Linked DNA regions of Caenorhabditis elegans. The protein of the gene in region 3 purifies or fractionates together with the protein of the main gene of each other region. This does not show direct contact. Each region holds a gene or a part of one and is shown on either strand. Other genes may lie near its edges.

Region 1 (5,708 bases), on a different chromosome or scaffold from region 3:
CTTACATCTCGGCTGATTTTCGCAGTTCGGGGGCCATTAGCTGCCAACATGACTGTCACTGATCTGAAAATGCTATTTTACTTTTAGAAATTGAAAATAAAATGGGAGACGGGTGGTGTCAGAGTGTCCCATTCCAGCTTAATCCGGGAATTTCCAGACATTTTTCCTGGGTAGCAAATTCGAATTAAATTCCCACAATTTTCAAATAAAAAACCGAGATGGGATACTGTGACACCACTAAACTCTAAATTGAGGAAAACAATTCGTGAACCTTTTTTTTTTGAAGATAACTAGAAAAGGTTGCGAATAAACGTATTAGGTGAAAAGAAACGGGATGAGCATATGGAGATGACCTTTATTGGGAATAGACACGGAGAACACCTTCTGTTGGGAACGCATTTGTGTGTGCTCTCCCAGACACTCCATAAGGTCAGCTGCATAACCCTAAATTGCATCGACAAATCTTAACAACTGCAACAGAAAAGCTACACTCAAAATATAAGACGGAAATTTTCTTTCAGCACGGCTTAGTTTGGACGAACAATTTGAAAGGAGTGTTCAAATTGCAACTGTTTGGAAACATAATAAAATCATTACGGAATTTATTTTTTTGGAAAATCAAAACAGGTGATAAAAGACGTTTCTGTAAATGAAAGTCACTAGTCTTTTCCACTAATCCGCCAATGTCTTTCATGGAAAATAAGACAAAAAAAAAGACAGCGTTAGAGAGAAATAGACGAAGAGAGCTCAAAGAGCTCGCTGGCTGCCCACGAACCTGCGGGTTAGCAATGGAAAATGTGGTCGTGGGCAGAGAGACGTAGGATAAATGTGGCAACCCAAGGCCATTTGTTGTCGGGCAGTCACCCGCTCTCAAGGACGCTGCAACGACCCAATGCTGTCACTTCAGAACACATCTCGAGGTCACCTGGCACTCAAAGATAGGCTCACATCGTATAGTTTATTCGCTAGTAAATGAGATGAAAAACATTGTACAAAATCAGCGATTGTGGATGTGAGACATGTGATAACTTTAGGCTCAAAAAAGGTTTTAATAATATTTAGGTTTTTTTAGATTTAAATGAAACAGTCGAGATCGGCACGATGTAATAAAAAACAGAACATTTAGTAGTCACTCATTTGTTGCATCTGCTCGATCATTTGCTTCAGATTTTCGATGTACTTGTCCTGATTGACATCATCCACACCATAGACAGTCATCTTCTGACGAACTTCTTCCTATAAAGAAAACAATCATAACGGATCTTCAAGAAATAAAGCTACATTGTACGAATCCATCTTGCAACGAAGTCTCCACATCTTTGGAACAAACTGAAGGCGTTCGAAAATAGCGTTGTACTCATCTGGGCTTTCATCGTGCAATTCTCCAAGCTCCGCAGCTGATTTTCCAACAATCTTCGCAGCACTATCTCCGAAAGCTGTGACATAGACCTGTCCGGTTTCGTCCGAAAGTTCAAACTGCATCATGTACAGCCACTTGAACTTGTTCATGTTCTTATTGCACTTTTCGCATCTGTAGTCACCATTTTCTCCCACAAGTTTCTTTTGGCAACCCTCTGAAGCGCATCCTCTATAAAGAGCATTCGTAGGATTTACTCTGGTAATCATTGCTTTGACAGTTGCGTAATCTCCCTTGTCGGAATCCTTTCCAAATTGCATTTCTTGGAGTCCTGCAATAGTACGTGGAGCTTCATTGGATCCTCCAGCAGCTTGGCTCATCATCTTAACTTCAGTGGTTGGTTTCACGTTTGCGTACCAATCATAGAGTTCAGACACTCCAGCGATTTCTGGCACCGAAATAATACGAGTTGCTGACCCAGTTCCCAAAGAGAATCCTCCATTAAACTCTCTTGGAATAACACCTTTGAATGCGATTACTTTTTGAACATAGTCATCAACAAGTGCTTTTGTTGCTTCGTCTCCCCAAAGTGTCAATCGAACAAGTGCTCCAGACTCGTCAATCAACTCCATTTCTCGCTTGATCAGAGATTTTCCAGCCTTTGAAGTGAATTCGGTAGCCTCTGGATCCATCTTTTCAACCACGACGAGAACGTCAATCAGTTGTCCAGCATATCCAGCGATTTCACCTAGCTTCACTCGTTTGAGTATGAGCTTTGGAGCAGCAAGCAATTCACCTCCAGCTTCAATCTGAAAATTTAATATTTTAGCTATGATGAATCGCTTTAAATTTACTAACGATAGAATCGCTGCGAAGTGTGATCTCGTAGTCGTGTCCAGTATTGTTGAACTTCTTATTTGCTTGTTTGACTGATCCACCAGACAAATAATAAGACTGAAAATATTAAATTAATTATTATGCATAATCCGATTAAAATAATACTAACAAGATTCTCGGTGATTGTGGTGTACAAGGACTCAGCAACCTCGTTGAATGCGGTACATCTGATTGTATCTCCGTTTGAATCGGTTATTTCAAAGTTGAACACTTTCGTGTTTTTCGCTGGGAAAGTACGAATTTCCTCCTTGCGTGATACCATTCCGTGAATTTTGAAATTCGATACGTACGGTGTAACCATTGCAATAGGCATCACGCCTCTTTCTGTGTTCGACGCGGTACGGCGTGCTGGTGGTGGAACAGCTCGAGCGCGTGTAGCCTCTGGAGCAGCGGCACGATTGTATGAGGCTTCTGAAAACTCGAATTACACACATTACAACTCTTAGATTTTACCTTCTCCGAATTCTCTTTTCGGCGCTTTTGCTGCTGGTGGATTTGCCATATTCTCCTGGTAATCAGCAGCCATTCCTTCAGCTTCAGGCCAAACATCTTCGATGATAATATTTGGTCTATAGCCTTTGTGCTCATCAGGTTTGCCAGAATGAGATCTTGGCTTGACTTCTGGAGAGGTCAAAACCTGATGATAGCGAGAAAGAATTTTGTATCCTTTGATCAGGAAGCAATTCTTAGCACCTTCTCTGAAAAATACATTGAAGGACTCAATAATGTTATAATCTCACCCTTGGTCGTAGATTTCAAATTTAGTAAGAGCGATAATTGTTCCCTCAACAAGATGCTCAACTTCACGTTTGATTTGGTCATCGATATCAGCGGACATGAGCGCATCTTCAAAGCATAAATAAATATCAGAGTATAACAAACTCACTTACTGTATTGGAAAACACCGTCTGAGATACGAATTCTGAAAGTGAATGCGTGACCAAGTTGCTCTCCTTGCTCTACTTTGCCTTTCTGAAAATTATCGAATTATTGCGAAACTTTTGAATTAGTCAAAAGTACCAAAACTTGAACGATTCCATCATGTCCAGGATATCCATTGTTTTCGATAGCCTCCTGAAAATTCATCAAAATTAAATTTCCTGGTTTTCTACATTGATTTCTTTACCTGAACATAGCCTGTTGTAAGTCGAAGTTTCCCGTTAGTATGATACTTATTGAAGACATCGTGATTGATGTGAATTGCCGCCATCTTTCACTATCTGAAACAGATACATAAAAATTGGGGAAAAAAGCTTGAAACATGAAGAAACAAATGAAGGGGAGACGATTCAATTTTGAATTCTCTACAGGCCGGATACGCGCCAAAAAAAATGGCGTAGAATGTGATGTTTGCGGGAAATGTGTGCCGAAAAGCGGGAATTTCTGTTAGTCAAAGAAAATCGAGCACAACTTGAATTAAAATATGAGAAAACAAATAAATATTAAAAAAAGGAATTGAGAAGTTTTAAAGATTACAATAATAATTGTTGAAATTTTGATGAAGGTTTTACATCGGCCAAAATCGCATGAATCGAAATTATGGCAGCGCAATATTGGAAGAGGGTTAAAATACTGAACAAAAACATTCTAAAAGTCAATACTTCGTCCAAACATGAAGATTTTCTGCAGGTTCTCAACAAAGCAATTCACATTTGAAAAAGAAAAAAATGAATGGCTCGGACCACCTGCGTAAATCTTGCCGGGTACGGTATTCGCTTCGAGACCTCCATCAAAACCGTAGTTTGGAAATTGTTTTTTCCCGCCGATCTAACTTTTCTATTGACGCGCTAAATTTTGAAATCAGAAAAGTCGCATAAAGAATTCGGATTTTGTTTTATTTTCATTTGTCAGTTTTGATAAATTTTCATTTTATAAATTATGTAAAGTTTCGGCTATATCAGTTACCCACTTCATTTCTACCTAGCTGTTCTTTTCCTTATATGACCTTCTTGAAAGCTTATAAAAGTTTTCGAAAGCTTTTAGACCACTTTCAAACTGCTTAATATCTAACCCCCATTTCGGAAAAAAAACTTCTACATAATTCCAGATGCGCCATCTCCATCTCGCCTTCTTCCTTCCCGCCATCTTTCTGTTCTTCTCGTGTGTAAATGGTGCCATCGAATCGGTACACGACGACAAAGATGTCGTGCCACACGAAGAACAAGGTAAAAAACTAGATTATTGTGTGCTTAAGATTAAAGTTTCACTTCAGCCCTCGACGTCGACACAATTTTCCGCGCTCTTGGAGTTCCATATTGCATGCGAAAGTGCATCGACCCGTTCATCAATTCTACGACGTCTCTGTGGAACATGAAGAATGTTGTACATCAAGCTCGCAAAGTCTGTGGTCATCATGCACAGGCTATCACTTGTCTGAAGAAAGAACAGTACTGTGATCACAACAAGCTCTTCGCAAAAGCCAGCAGCAGTGTTGAATATATGTGTGCCACAAAGCACGTTCTGTTTGAGCGAATGGAGTCGTGTCTCAACCCTGTCGTTGATGATATCATGTCAGGTAATTTTTTTTCTGAAAAATTGCCCACCATCAAAAAATCGTTTTCAGGCTGCGACAAAGAATGCTATGCTCGTTCAAACCTAACTGCTTTCGCTCAAGATTCTAACATTAAATTCGCTGCTACAGTTGGAGGTAATGTATTTATTGTTGCTGATCATCTTGGAGAACTTTGTAACTCTCTGCAATGTACTCTCCCATGTGTCACCAAGCGACTCAACAGCAAGTGTGCCTTGAGTGGATGGCTTAGTCTGGACATGCTTATGCAACCATTCGATGCCGTTTCTGTAATGGTTGATCAATTGTCACCAGCATTGAGGTTAGTTAGTGCGATCATTATTAAATATGCTATGTAACTAAACATTTCAGGGATGTCATCAGTAAGAAAATCGATAAAAGATGCCGTTTTGCAATTAACCCAACTCGTCTCAACCGCATTCGCAACGGCGATTTCAAGGCTTTTAACATGGATAACATTTGATCGCATCTCATTTCATGATTCCAGTACTCACTAAAACCCACGAATTGTAAATAATCACCCGACACAAATATGTTGATATATCGAATAAATAGTTGTAAACTGTAAACCGCTTTCAATAATCATTTTCTCAAACGCGGATGAAAGCCGAAAAAAATTCTCGTGACATTTTGTACAACTATCGAAGCTGAAATGGCCGAAATATCTGAATTTCGGCCGCGTGGTCGACAAAACAGCTGACAAGTTCAATTCATCGATCAATAATCGCATTTTGATGAGTCAATCTATTCCCTTCCATCGCTCTTCCATTGTGAACGCATTAAGTTAATGAGAGTGTAAGGATCGTGGAGACGGAGACGTAGAGACAGTTGTTAACCTACAGGAAAATTCTTTCGTTTGTTGCCTGTGTAAATACAGCAGTTTGCCTTGTTCTTTCCCTTCATTTATTTCAAGTTTTCCCTTCA
Region 2 (4,543 bases), 4.1 Mb from region 3:
TTAAAGCTTACAAGAAGAAATTTAAATAAATTGGAAAAAATATGCAAATGGTCAGCAATAACCATTTAAACAGATGAATAATAAATGATAATATACAATGAAAATACAGCTATATTTATTTGTTCAGTGACGTTAAATTCATAAAAAACAAAACAAAATTATTCGGTCTACGAGTGAGCTCGTTCTACTTAAAATCAATCGCATTACTTCCTCATAGTGGCCTATTTGGAAACAGTTGGGGCAGCAGCTGGTAGTTGGGTTTGAATTGACGCGATCTCCTCATCCCAAGCTTTTTCGATTTTGGCCCAGTGAGTCAGCAACTCCTTCTTTCTCTGCTCACGAGTATTGAAGTAGTAGGGGAACTGTTCACGTTCAGCCAATGTCCATTGATCCGAATCGACAATCTCATCCGGCGACTCGCGTTCACGATCATAACTGGAACCTCCTGGATCGAGAGCAAAACGGAAAGGCTTGAAATGACGTTTCTCCCACAATTGACGGCATCCGTCGGCAAGAAGGATCTGGCTCTTACGGGTGTCAACCTCATCAGCGTTAGCGTCGAATCGAGCACGGATAATACACTTTTGGAAGCGAACTTCCAGATTGTTTCCTCCATACCAGTTGTCAACTTCGCGAAGACAGCGTTTGTAGAGGCGGGTGACCTGAAAATGCAATAATTCGCTACATTTTAAACAGACGAAATCTCCAATCAGATTAAAAAACAACGCTACCAATTTCACAAACGACTAAAGCTTTTCAAAAATAAAAATTACCTTCTGTCTATGGCTCAGCGCCTTCGTGAACATCCACGCCGGCGAATCCATGGCTTCCTCCCGGTCTTCTCTGAAAACAATGGGTTTTATAGAGTACAAAAATATGTGATTGGAACAATAAAATAAAATTGGAAAAAAAACCAATCAGTTTAATTTTTAGTAAACAAGGAAAAGTAACAATTTTCATTTGAATTTTTGGGTAAAAGAGTTAAAAATTAAAAAGCAAATAACAACAACACAATTGGAAGAGGGCGAATAAAAGAAAAGAACAAAAATAACGATAACAGACAAAATGGAATGCGAAGTTTTATGCCTTGACCCTTTGTCGTGGCTCCGTTTCTTCTTCGTATTCAATCTCAACATGAGCTCGTTTCTTGAGCTTCTTCTTCTTTCCATCAGCAGCTTTCTTCCCAGTCTTTTTCTTCGGCTCCTTCTTTACCTTCTTCTTTGGTGGCTCCTCAATTTCCATTGGCTCATCACCTCCTTCCTCATCATCTTCATCCGAATCCTCTTGTTCTTGTTCTGGCTGCCAATTATCCTCGTTCTCACTGTCAGTATCTCCTGGTGACCAATGTCCATCACCTCCGTCTTCCATGTCCTGATCCTCATCGTCGGAACTATCAAAGTCAGCGACGAACTGAGTCTCACCCGTGTCTGCGTCGTCCTGCTCGAGTTCTTGCTCCACTTCCAACTCTTTTTCAGTGTTTTCCAGCATTTGTTCGAATGCCTCTTGACGGAAGTTGTAAACATCGCCATATGTTCCTTGTCTAAAAGTTGTTTCATTCAAAATGTGCACTTTCTAATATATCAACTCACTTAAGTCTGGCTAAGAGCTCTTTCTCAATAGCGTGATCAAGTTTAGCTGCAACAAGTGCCTTCTCTTCACGACGTTTCTCACGTCTTTCCACTTTCCGTCCAATTGGAATGAGTTTCTTCTGGCTGAAAATAAATAATACTATGCAAAATTCAGTTTCTATAAGTTTAAACTTACTTTCCACGGACTGCCATTTTACGCATTCTGATCAAATATTGATGAATTCGGATGAGACGAGCTTTGCACTTGTGTCTAACATATTCACTCCAATGAAGAAGTTGATCACTGATTTGTTCCAATGCTTTGTTCATATCCTTTGACAACTTTGTCTTTTCCCATAAACGACGTGGATAGTGAGATCGTTCGACAACTTTTGCGTACAAGTAACATACTCCGTTCTCCTCACGAACTGTTGCATACTGTGAGTTAGCCAATGGACACGAAGCTCTGTTGCACAAACCAGTCAAATTCATTTCATTTTTACAGAACATTTTTGGCTTTGTCCACGCTTTGTAGGCGCATTGTCCCTTGTTGAGAATGTTCCAAGTCACATCGTCGCACTGCATTTTTACCCAGTTTCTGAAAAATTCGAATTTTTTGAGTTGTTTTTCACACGAGAATTACTTCGATAAAAGGAAAAAGAAGCAAGAATTGATTGAGAAGAACGGGCAAAAAAATTGTGAAAGAACCGAAAGTGTGCGTCTTCGCGTGGCGGTGTTTGCACACTTTGTCAGTCCCGCGTGCCTTAAGGCGCCTTCTCTCTATTTTCATCTTTCAATTAAAATTTAAAGTCTCAAACAAATATTTTCACAGGAAATAACTGGGCCACAGGAACGCAATTAAAATAATATAAACACCAGAGAATATTTATTCATTAGTTAAAACAAGCAAACCGTATTTTAAAGTATTCAAAACAATGGAAATGTACTTGAAACAAACTGTTACACCGTACAATTGAGGATATGAATAGTAACATCGAAAATTGATGTGATAGTGCATGTAAAAAATCTAATACGTTTTATTCTAGTAATTCAGCAACCGGCTCCTCTTTCGCTGGAGATTCAATAGCTGAACTGGTTTCTGTTGCTGGTGCATCTTCGTCACATTGATCTTCCCATGTGGGACCTTCATCCAGTTTTTTCGCCGCCTCAATCTCATCTTCGGTCATATCGCGTTCGACTTCAACAACATACTCTTTTTGTTGCACTTTTTGCCACCCTTCTTCCTCGTCTTTCCACCAATCTTTTGGAGGTGAAGATACTAAATTACTTGTTGTCGGAACGTTACTTTCTTCATCGTCCGAATCGACATCGCTCCCCAAAAGAGCAAATTGGTTTTGTTGTTTCAATGGGATTGGGGCAGTTATTTCCTGGAAAATAAAAATATTGAAATCTGAACAATGCCAGACAAAAATTATATATTTACCTTCATTGGACGAGCTTCTCTCCGAACTACCATTTTTTCCGTACATCTTAATGGTTTCATGAGACCTTCTGTTTCTTCTTTTTTACTCAAAGCTTGATCCATTATATCTTTTCTAATAACAGCAGGTCCTGGCGTCTTTAGAGCTCCTTTGTAGTTTACAAGATCACTAATGAGAACGAGAGGCTGATGAGATTTTCCTCGTACTGCTGTGAGAACGATACTTCTTTTTGGTGGACTGTCTACACTTTCTGAGGCGATATTGAAAAAGTTGGCGTATTCATGCACGAATCTTCTCTTCTCAATACTCATTGCTGGCAGGTGAGCTCGAAAAGTGTCGTGGTAGGCTTCACCCTGTAAAAAACTATATGTATGCCCACAATTTTAAACAAATGGTAGCTTACACTTAGAATTTGAATAACCAGATCAATGAGAATCTTTTCAACAGATTTGACGAAATCAATGTTGGTTCTAACCATCTCTTTCAGATAACAAGGGAAGGAAATAGTTGGAGCGAGTTTGTTCATTCCATATTCATCTGTATCAACTTCAAGAGCTTCAGCAACTTTTCGATTTCTTTCCAATTTCTTGCATTCGTCATCACATTTCATGCAGTTAAGTTGAGAAAAACTTGTTGAGCGCTTGAGAATTCCTTCTTTGACCACTTTCTCTTCACCATCCGATTCAGATTTTTCTTCTTCTTCCTTTTCGAGTTTTGATAGAATCATTTTATCAACTTCACAGCATGGTGCGTCCTTTTTAATTCGTCCACATTCACAAGAAATTCTCACACTTGCTTTGCATGGGCTTGGCTCACACGGAGAATCTTCGTGACATGGAAGTGCGCAAGGATGTTCGCAAAGCTCTCGGATGGTTTCACATTTTTTCGTGCATTTCTCCCCTTCTTTCTCACATTCTTCACCGTGACATGTTCTTTGGCACACATGAACTCCACATTTGAGGGGTTTTTTGCAAACCACGCCACATGAAACTGAGTCGATATGACACGGTATATTTTTGCGAACTCTATGTCCACCATAACACATTTTTTCGGTGAGCTGTGTGCATGGAGGACAGTTTTGTTCACCATGGCACTTATGAGAGACAGAATGATCACAACTGTGTGGACGGACACATGGTTGGGAGCACACTGGTAGACGAGCTCCACATGGAATCGGAGGCATTCGAACTGTGTGACCACAATGACAAAATTGCTCATCAAAACTGGCTTGCAGACACGGACGGCATTGTCCAGCGTGACATACATTCTCACATGTGTGAATTCCGCAAGAAAGTCGTTTGTTGCACATTTGCAGACAAAAATGTTCATCTTGAATACAGCAAACTTCTTGGCATTTGTGCATTCCACATGACTTCTTTTTTCGACATCTTTTTGTGCAGAGATATTCACCAGCTGAAAATATATTGGTCATAGATCAAATGAAGACATTTGAAACTCACTGGTTTTCATTATTTGCAAATATTCGTCACATGGAATGACGCCTTTAGACGTTCCACAGCGACAAATTACGGA
Region 3 (5,781 bases):
AATTTGATTTTTAAAATTCCTAAAAACACCCAGAAAATAGGAATTTAAATTTTAAACTCATAAAACACCGAAAAAACATTTTTAAAAAACCCTAAAACCGACAATAAAAGTTTTTTCAAAAGCCTCGAAAAGCACCGAAAAATATTCCAATTTTTTAAAATAAAAAAAACTTTCTACATTTTCATAATTGGCCAGTTTTCATTGAATTTCTCCTATTTTTTGATCAGAGCTTCAAAAATTTGGCTTTTTTTCAGAAGATTAATTTTAAAAAATTTCTTTCATTAAAAAATTCCTAAAAATCACGAAAAACGGGATTTCATGTTTAAAAAAAAACGAAAAATGCTCGATTTTTCTAGAAAAATTGGGTTCAAAAATTTCTATAAACAGCCACAAAAAATAGGAATTTAAAAAATCTAAAAACCTCTAAAACACCGAAAAATTGTTTTTTAAGCCTAAAAACCCCAAAAAAATATCCCATTTTTTCTGGAAAAAAAAGCTCAGATTTTTAAAAAACGCACATGATCCTTTTGTTTCTTAACCCGATGCCTCAAATGTTTTCTCTCATCCTGACTTCCATAATACGTGAGCAATTGGATACTCGGACACCATTTATGAAATTCTCCAATCCAATTCTCAATAGTCGATGATGGTACAACAATCAAATGAGGTCCAGTTTTTCCGATTTGTTTCAAATATGAAAGGAATGCAACAATTTGAATAGTCTTTCCAAGACCCATTTCGTCTCCGAGAATTGCATTTAAATCCTTATTATACATCATAATAAGCCATTTAACACCGATAAGTTGATAATCATGAAGTGTACATCCTTCTTTGAGTAGCGGAAGTTGTAGAGGTCCTTCTGTACATCTTTCAAAATCTTTGGTTACTGTATGTGCGTGATCTTTACAATCATCCAAAATTCTCGATAAAATTCCACGTTTTTCCAGAAATTCCATATAAGCTTCAATTGCATTTGTACCACGTGTAACTCCTTTCATCTTGGCAACCATAGCTCCGTAGATCTCGAATGGGCGATTTGCGAGAACGAAATCTGCGATTTTATCGTTGATTCGAGCCTGTTGAAGGAGATCCTCTTTTTTTGCTTTATTAAAGAATTCTCGACATTCTTTTTGGTTTTTTGTTTCACCACGTTTCGCGCGACGCTCCTCTATCTGGAAATATTCGAAAAATTGATCAATTTACGCAAGATATTCAAATTTGCGAATGAATATTTTAAATAACGAAATTTCTATTCAATTTTCTCTAAATTTTGAAGTTTTTTGTAAAATTGAATAGTGAGAAATCGATGTTTTCAAATTTTTCAACTCTCAACTTTTCTCGGAAAAAAAGTAAATTGTTCATAGTCTTGAAATTTTGGTGAATCAATTTTAGAACAAACTTTCAAAAATTCTTCGGAATTTCCAATTTTCTAGCTTTAAAAAAACTAATTTTCCAGAAATTTCCGCTAGTTTTGAGCTAAATTCTGCAAAAATTGGAGTTTTCTAATTTTTCTAAAAGTATTTTTGATTTAAAATAACATGAAAAATGGAACTTTTGACCAATTTCCAGCTACGTGCATAATTCTTCGGAATTTCCCATTTTCTAGCTCTTGGAAAATCAAATTTCTAGGAAATTTTTGTTAGTTTTGAACTAAATTCTTCAAAAAATGGAATTTCCTCTGATTTTTATGATTTTTTCTTGAAAAATGTAATTATTCTTCGAAATATATTTTTTGGCTCGAAAATAATTTGTTTTTTTTTTGAAAATTTCGTTAATTCCGAGCTAAATACTTCGAAAAAATGAAATTTTCTCTGATTTTCAAGTTTAAAAAACTCCTAGCTCGAGAAAAATCGAATTTTCCTGATTTTTTTTGCGTTTTTTCAATAAAAAACGAAAAAATTGAATTTTTGAGCAATTTCTGCTTAGATCGTTGTCATCATAAGGTTCTACAATTTTATTTCTATAGATCTCCGTTAATTTCAGTCTAAATAATTCAAAAATTGCTATTTTCATATTTTTTCTGGCAAAAAAATCGAATTTCTATGAAATTTTCGATAGTTTTTTTCGAGCAAAATCGTTCGAATATTGCCATTTTTCACGATATTTTTAGCGATTTCTACATACATCACTGTCATCAGAAGGTGTCTCATCACCATCTGCATTCATATCATCTTCATCTTCTTCCCAATCTTCATCAGATTCTGCTTTCTTTTTCTGTTCCTTTTGAGCCTTTGCCATTGCCGCTTTCAGACTTTGTCCCTGTTTCATTGTAACCTCTTCAGTCTCTGAATCCTTTCCAGATCCTTCTGATTCCTCTTTTTCTGATCCTTTTCCTGATCCTTTCTCTGATATTTCTTCATCATTGATAAAATCATCTTCACTTTCATCGTCAATTACAATTTTTCTCTTCGAGGCGGCCGATCTTTTTGCCATTTGAGTTCTCATTACATTTCCAATTGGAGATTCTGAACCATTTAGCCGTGGTTTTGTCATCCATTCATCGTCACTGGAATCCGATAGTGTTCGGATTCGTTTCCTGAAATAATTTTTGCATTTTTTTTCATTTTCAGCATAAAATTTAATCGAAAATTCGTTTTTGAGACATTTTTGAATTTCTGTAAAGTCAAAAGTTCAATTTTTCAGTGAAAATTCGGAGAGTTCTTATCAATTCAGTTTATTTTTTTCGTTAAAAAACCCTAAAATGTAAAAACCAGTTTTTTCCAAATTTTCAGCGGCTGGCTTGTTCTTTTGTTTATTTTAGGTGGAAAAATATCGCAAATTCCGCTCTTACATCTCTGGCTCGGGTGTCTCAGAATCCTCGCGTCGGTAGTTTTCTCGAGGATATACCAATTTCTTCCTGGAAAAAAATCAATTTTATCTCAATTTTCCCGCCAAAAATCGATCACGCCTACTTTGACGGAGCTTTACGCTTTCTTGGACCTTCTTCTTCATAATCATCATCATCCTCGTCTTCTTCATTATTATCGAAATCTTCTTCATCTTCACTAGGCATCGTCTCATCCACGTAATCCTCATCGTCATCGTCGCTGCCCTTCTGCTTTTTTGGTTTTTTCTCTGAAAAATAGGAAAATAACAATGAATTCCTCTTTAAAATCATGAAAATCCACGTACCACCGTATTTGATTCCGGGACCGGTTGTCCTTGGAGGCCTAGCTGTCAAGTGGCCGTTATTCTGCAAAAATATCGGTTTTTAGGCTATAAATTCGGAAAATTTACCAGATTTTGAGACAAAAGCGCCTTTTTGGCGTCCATATCGGCTTGTAAGCTAGAGGATTGTGGGTTGCCTTGATGTGCAACACGCACCCGTTCTCCGGTTTGAAAATCGCTCGTCGTTGACATTGATCCTAGAATTTGGGATTTTTAGGGGAAATTAATGGTGGATAAGAGGGAAATTATGATAAATAGCTGGGGAAATTGATAAATAAAAGGAAATTTCAAAGAAAACCCAAAAAAATCAATGAAAAATGAGGGAATTTCGAATAAATCCTATGCCGCCACAGTAGACGAAATTAAAATGCAGTGGTACGCAAACACCGAACCTTACGACAAATTCGGCGGTACGCAAACACCGCAAGCAGAATTTAAATTTAATTTAATATAAATTGCATTTTTTCCGAGGCCCCACGAAAAGGGGAGCAGAACGAAAAGGGGATCTGCAAAAAGGGGATCTGCGAAAAGGGGAGCAACGAAAAGGGGAAACGCACAAAACGCAATTTTTCTCACGCAGCGCACGTTGATTTTTGAAATTTTCTTCTAGAAGATACGCTTAACAACACGCGACGCGTAACATCGGAGCATCGTTGTATCGTTTTCTTCGAGAAAAATAGCGTTTGGCACAGTGCCAGATCCCCTTTTCGTTGCTCCCCTTTTCGTATCTCCCCTTTTCGTATCTCCCCTTTTCGCAGATCCCCTTTTTGCAGATCCCCTTTTCGTTCTGCTCCCCTTTTCGTGGAAATATCATGGAAAAAACGTGCGAGGCTTGCGAAAAAAGTGTGCGGTGGTTGCGAAATAGTCCCTGCCCCTACTCACGCGTGGCCACGTGGCACACGTAGCGATTGAAATAAACAAATTATAACTTAAATTAGTTTGTGAAATCGGTTTCTCTCCGACACACGCGTCACACAAAAATGCGTATTTTGCGTATTTTGTTTTCATTGGTAATCTTCGGATTAATAGTTCATGTATTAGTGAGTTTTTTAGACATCCTTCGATTTTTCTAGACCATAATGTTTCACCATTTTTCAGCCAACAACCACCACACCAAATGTGCCTGTTTCCGCCGCTACGAACACTTCAAACGTGACCGCTCCTGCCGGCAATTCGACAAAAAGTCCTAATGCGACCGCTCCTGCCGGTAATTCGACGAAAAATGTAAACGTGACCGCTCTTTCCGCCAATACGACGCAGCTTGCTCTTGTGAGCTCGGCGAGCCCTGAAACCTGCAAAAATGGAAACGGCACACACTGCCCGTCACGCACGATCAGTTTTCACAAGGACACGCCGAAGTACATCGGATGTGGCATCCTGATCGCCTTCGTCATTTTCCACATTTTTTTGTATTTCTACCTCGAGGATCAGAAGGCGAGGGTAAGTGAAATTTTGCCAGTGGCCTAGCTTTTTATTGATTTAAGTTATATTTAATGAAAAGCGAATTGCGTACTCCACGTGGACAACTTTCAACATACGAAACCTTCTTTTCAGGAGCAGAAGAAGTATTTTGAAGAGCTCATCGCTGAGCAGATGGCGGCTAGGAAGCGAGAAGAACAAGACGAAAAGCAGCACGAGGATGAGGAGATGCTGTGTCGTTTGCGAATTGGTGTCTCTAAGGACCGGAAGCGAGAAGAACAAGACGATCAGCAGCACGAGGATGAGGCGCCGGAAGCGGTCGTCACTGTGGACAAGCCACGCGATTGAAGTTCTTCTGAGCCCCCGACCGCCTCTCAACTTACTTTTGATTTTCCCCCGTTTTTAGGTCCTTTATTTTTCTATGGAGCCCCATTTCCCCTTTTCTATGCTCATCGTTCCCCACAATTGTATTATTTATGACCTCGTATAGTCCCATTCATTTTTCAAACTCCCCGTCCGTATTTATTTCCCCACACAATTTCACTTTTATTACTTTTCTCTGACAATAATTTTTTTTGTCAAATTTTGTTTCTCTTTCGACATCAAGGAACTTTCAGTTGAATGATTTAGTGGATTTAGTGATTTAGTGGGTTACTGTAGCTCTTAAAGGCGCACTCATTTTTTACTTCAGGTGTTATATTTTTTAATTCAGGTGTTTCTAGGAAGTCTGTTTGCCATCATATTTTATCAGATTTTTTTGGCCGAAAAATTTGTTAGTCGATGCACCATGAGTTATTCTCCTGAATTTTCGTCGTTTTGAAGGTTTTTTCGATGCACCATGAGCTTCTCAGTGTTTCTAACATATTTTTTATATATATTTCTAAAGAGATTTTTGTTGTACTATCCATTATATAAAGATAATGTTCAAACTATATAAATCGGATTTTCGAAAAAAAAAGAAACAGCGGAGATCAAATAATTTATGAGTTTCTTGGAAACAAGAGACTGTCATCATCGTCTGGTACAGTGTCGACAACGATCGGACACGGTGGCGGGCTAATCGAATTGTCATCGAAAACGGAGAGGATGGCCGCCTCGTGAACTTCTCCATCGCCAGAGTCTTCAAGGAAATCCTGTGGGAAGCTGGAAAGCAGATCTCCATTGGCCGCCATGTGCATATCATTGAGCATATCG

The links. Proteins that work in one complex are often made in the same cells at the same time.
Region 1: the proteins of smrd-1 (region 3) and rpa-1 fractionate together in Caenorhabditis elegans (co-fractionation; one large-scale study listed by BioGRID). This does not show direct contact.
Region 2: the proteins of smrd-1 (region 3) and C16A3.6 fractionate together in Caenorhabditis elegans (co-fractionation; one large-scale study listed by BioGRID). This does not show direct contact.

Annotation. Positions count from the first base shown.
Region 1 is NC_003280.10:7,662,348-7,668,055, reverse strand, and holds rpa-1 (putative replication factor A 73 kDa subunit), read right to left. Parts: upstream 3,475-5,708; 5' UTR 3,465-3,474; coding exon 3,381-3,464; intron 3,329-3,380; coding exon 3,275-3,328; intron 3,227-3,274; coding exon 3,145-3,226; intron 3,101-3,144; coding exon 2,995-3,100; intron 2,953-2,994; coding exon 2,708-2,952; intron 2,666-2,707; coding exon 2,364-2,665; intron 2,312-2,363; coding exon 2,216-2,311; intron 2,167-2,215; coding exon 1,282-2,166; intron 1,237-1,281; coding exon 1,123-1,236; 3' UTR 946-1,122; downstream 1-945. Other genes in the region: lir-2 (C2H2-type domain-containing protein), read right to left, coding at 6-50; F18A1.7 (Chondroitin proteoglycan 4 domain-containing protein), read left to right, coding at 4,302-4,419, 4,467-4,769, 4,818-5,085, 5,136-5,247. UniProt on the Caenorhabditis elegans protein: As part of the heterotrimeric replication protein A complex (RPA/RP-A), binds and stabilizes single-stranded DNA intermediates, that form during DNA replication or upon DNA stress.
Region 2 is NC_003281.10:6,377,072-6,381,614, reverse strand, and holds C16A3.6 (Protein MAK16 homolog), read right to left. Parts: upstream 2,167-4,543; 5' UTR 2,154-2,166; coding exon 1,765-2,153; intron 1,713-1,764; coding exon 1,590-1,712; intron 1,541-1,589; coding exon 1,081-1,540; 3' UTR 946-1,080; downstream 1-945. Other genes in the region: C16A3.5 (NADH dehydrogenase [ubiquinone] 1 beta subcomplex subunit 9), read right to left, coding at 222-662, 774-824; nfx-1 (Transcriptional repressor NF-X1 homolog), read right to left, coding at 2,606-2,956, 3,013-3,363, 3,414-4,423, 4,471-4,543.
Region 3 is NC_003281.10:10,432,624-10,438,404, forward strand, and holds the start of smrd-1 (SWI/SNF-related matrix-associated actin-dependent regulator of chromatin subfamily A containing DEAD/H box 1 homolog), read right to left. Parts: upstream 3,366-5,781; 5' UTR 3,361-3,365; coding exon 3,238-3,360; intron 3,194-3,237; coding exon 3,133-3,193; intron 3,076-3,132; coding exon 2,913-3,075; intron 2,858-2,912; coding exon 2,792-2,857; intron 2,537-2,791; coding exon 2,125-2,536; intron 1,173-2,124; coding exon 519-1,172; intron 1-518. Other genes in the region: enu-3.1 (ENhancer of Uncoordination), read left to right, coding at 4,149-4,208, 4,267-4,608, 4,723-4,935; H04D03.6 (MLX-interacting protein), read right to left, coding at 5,568-5,781.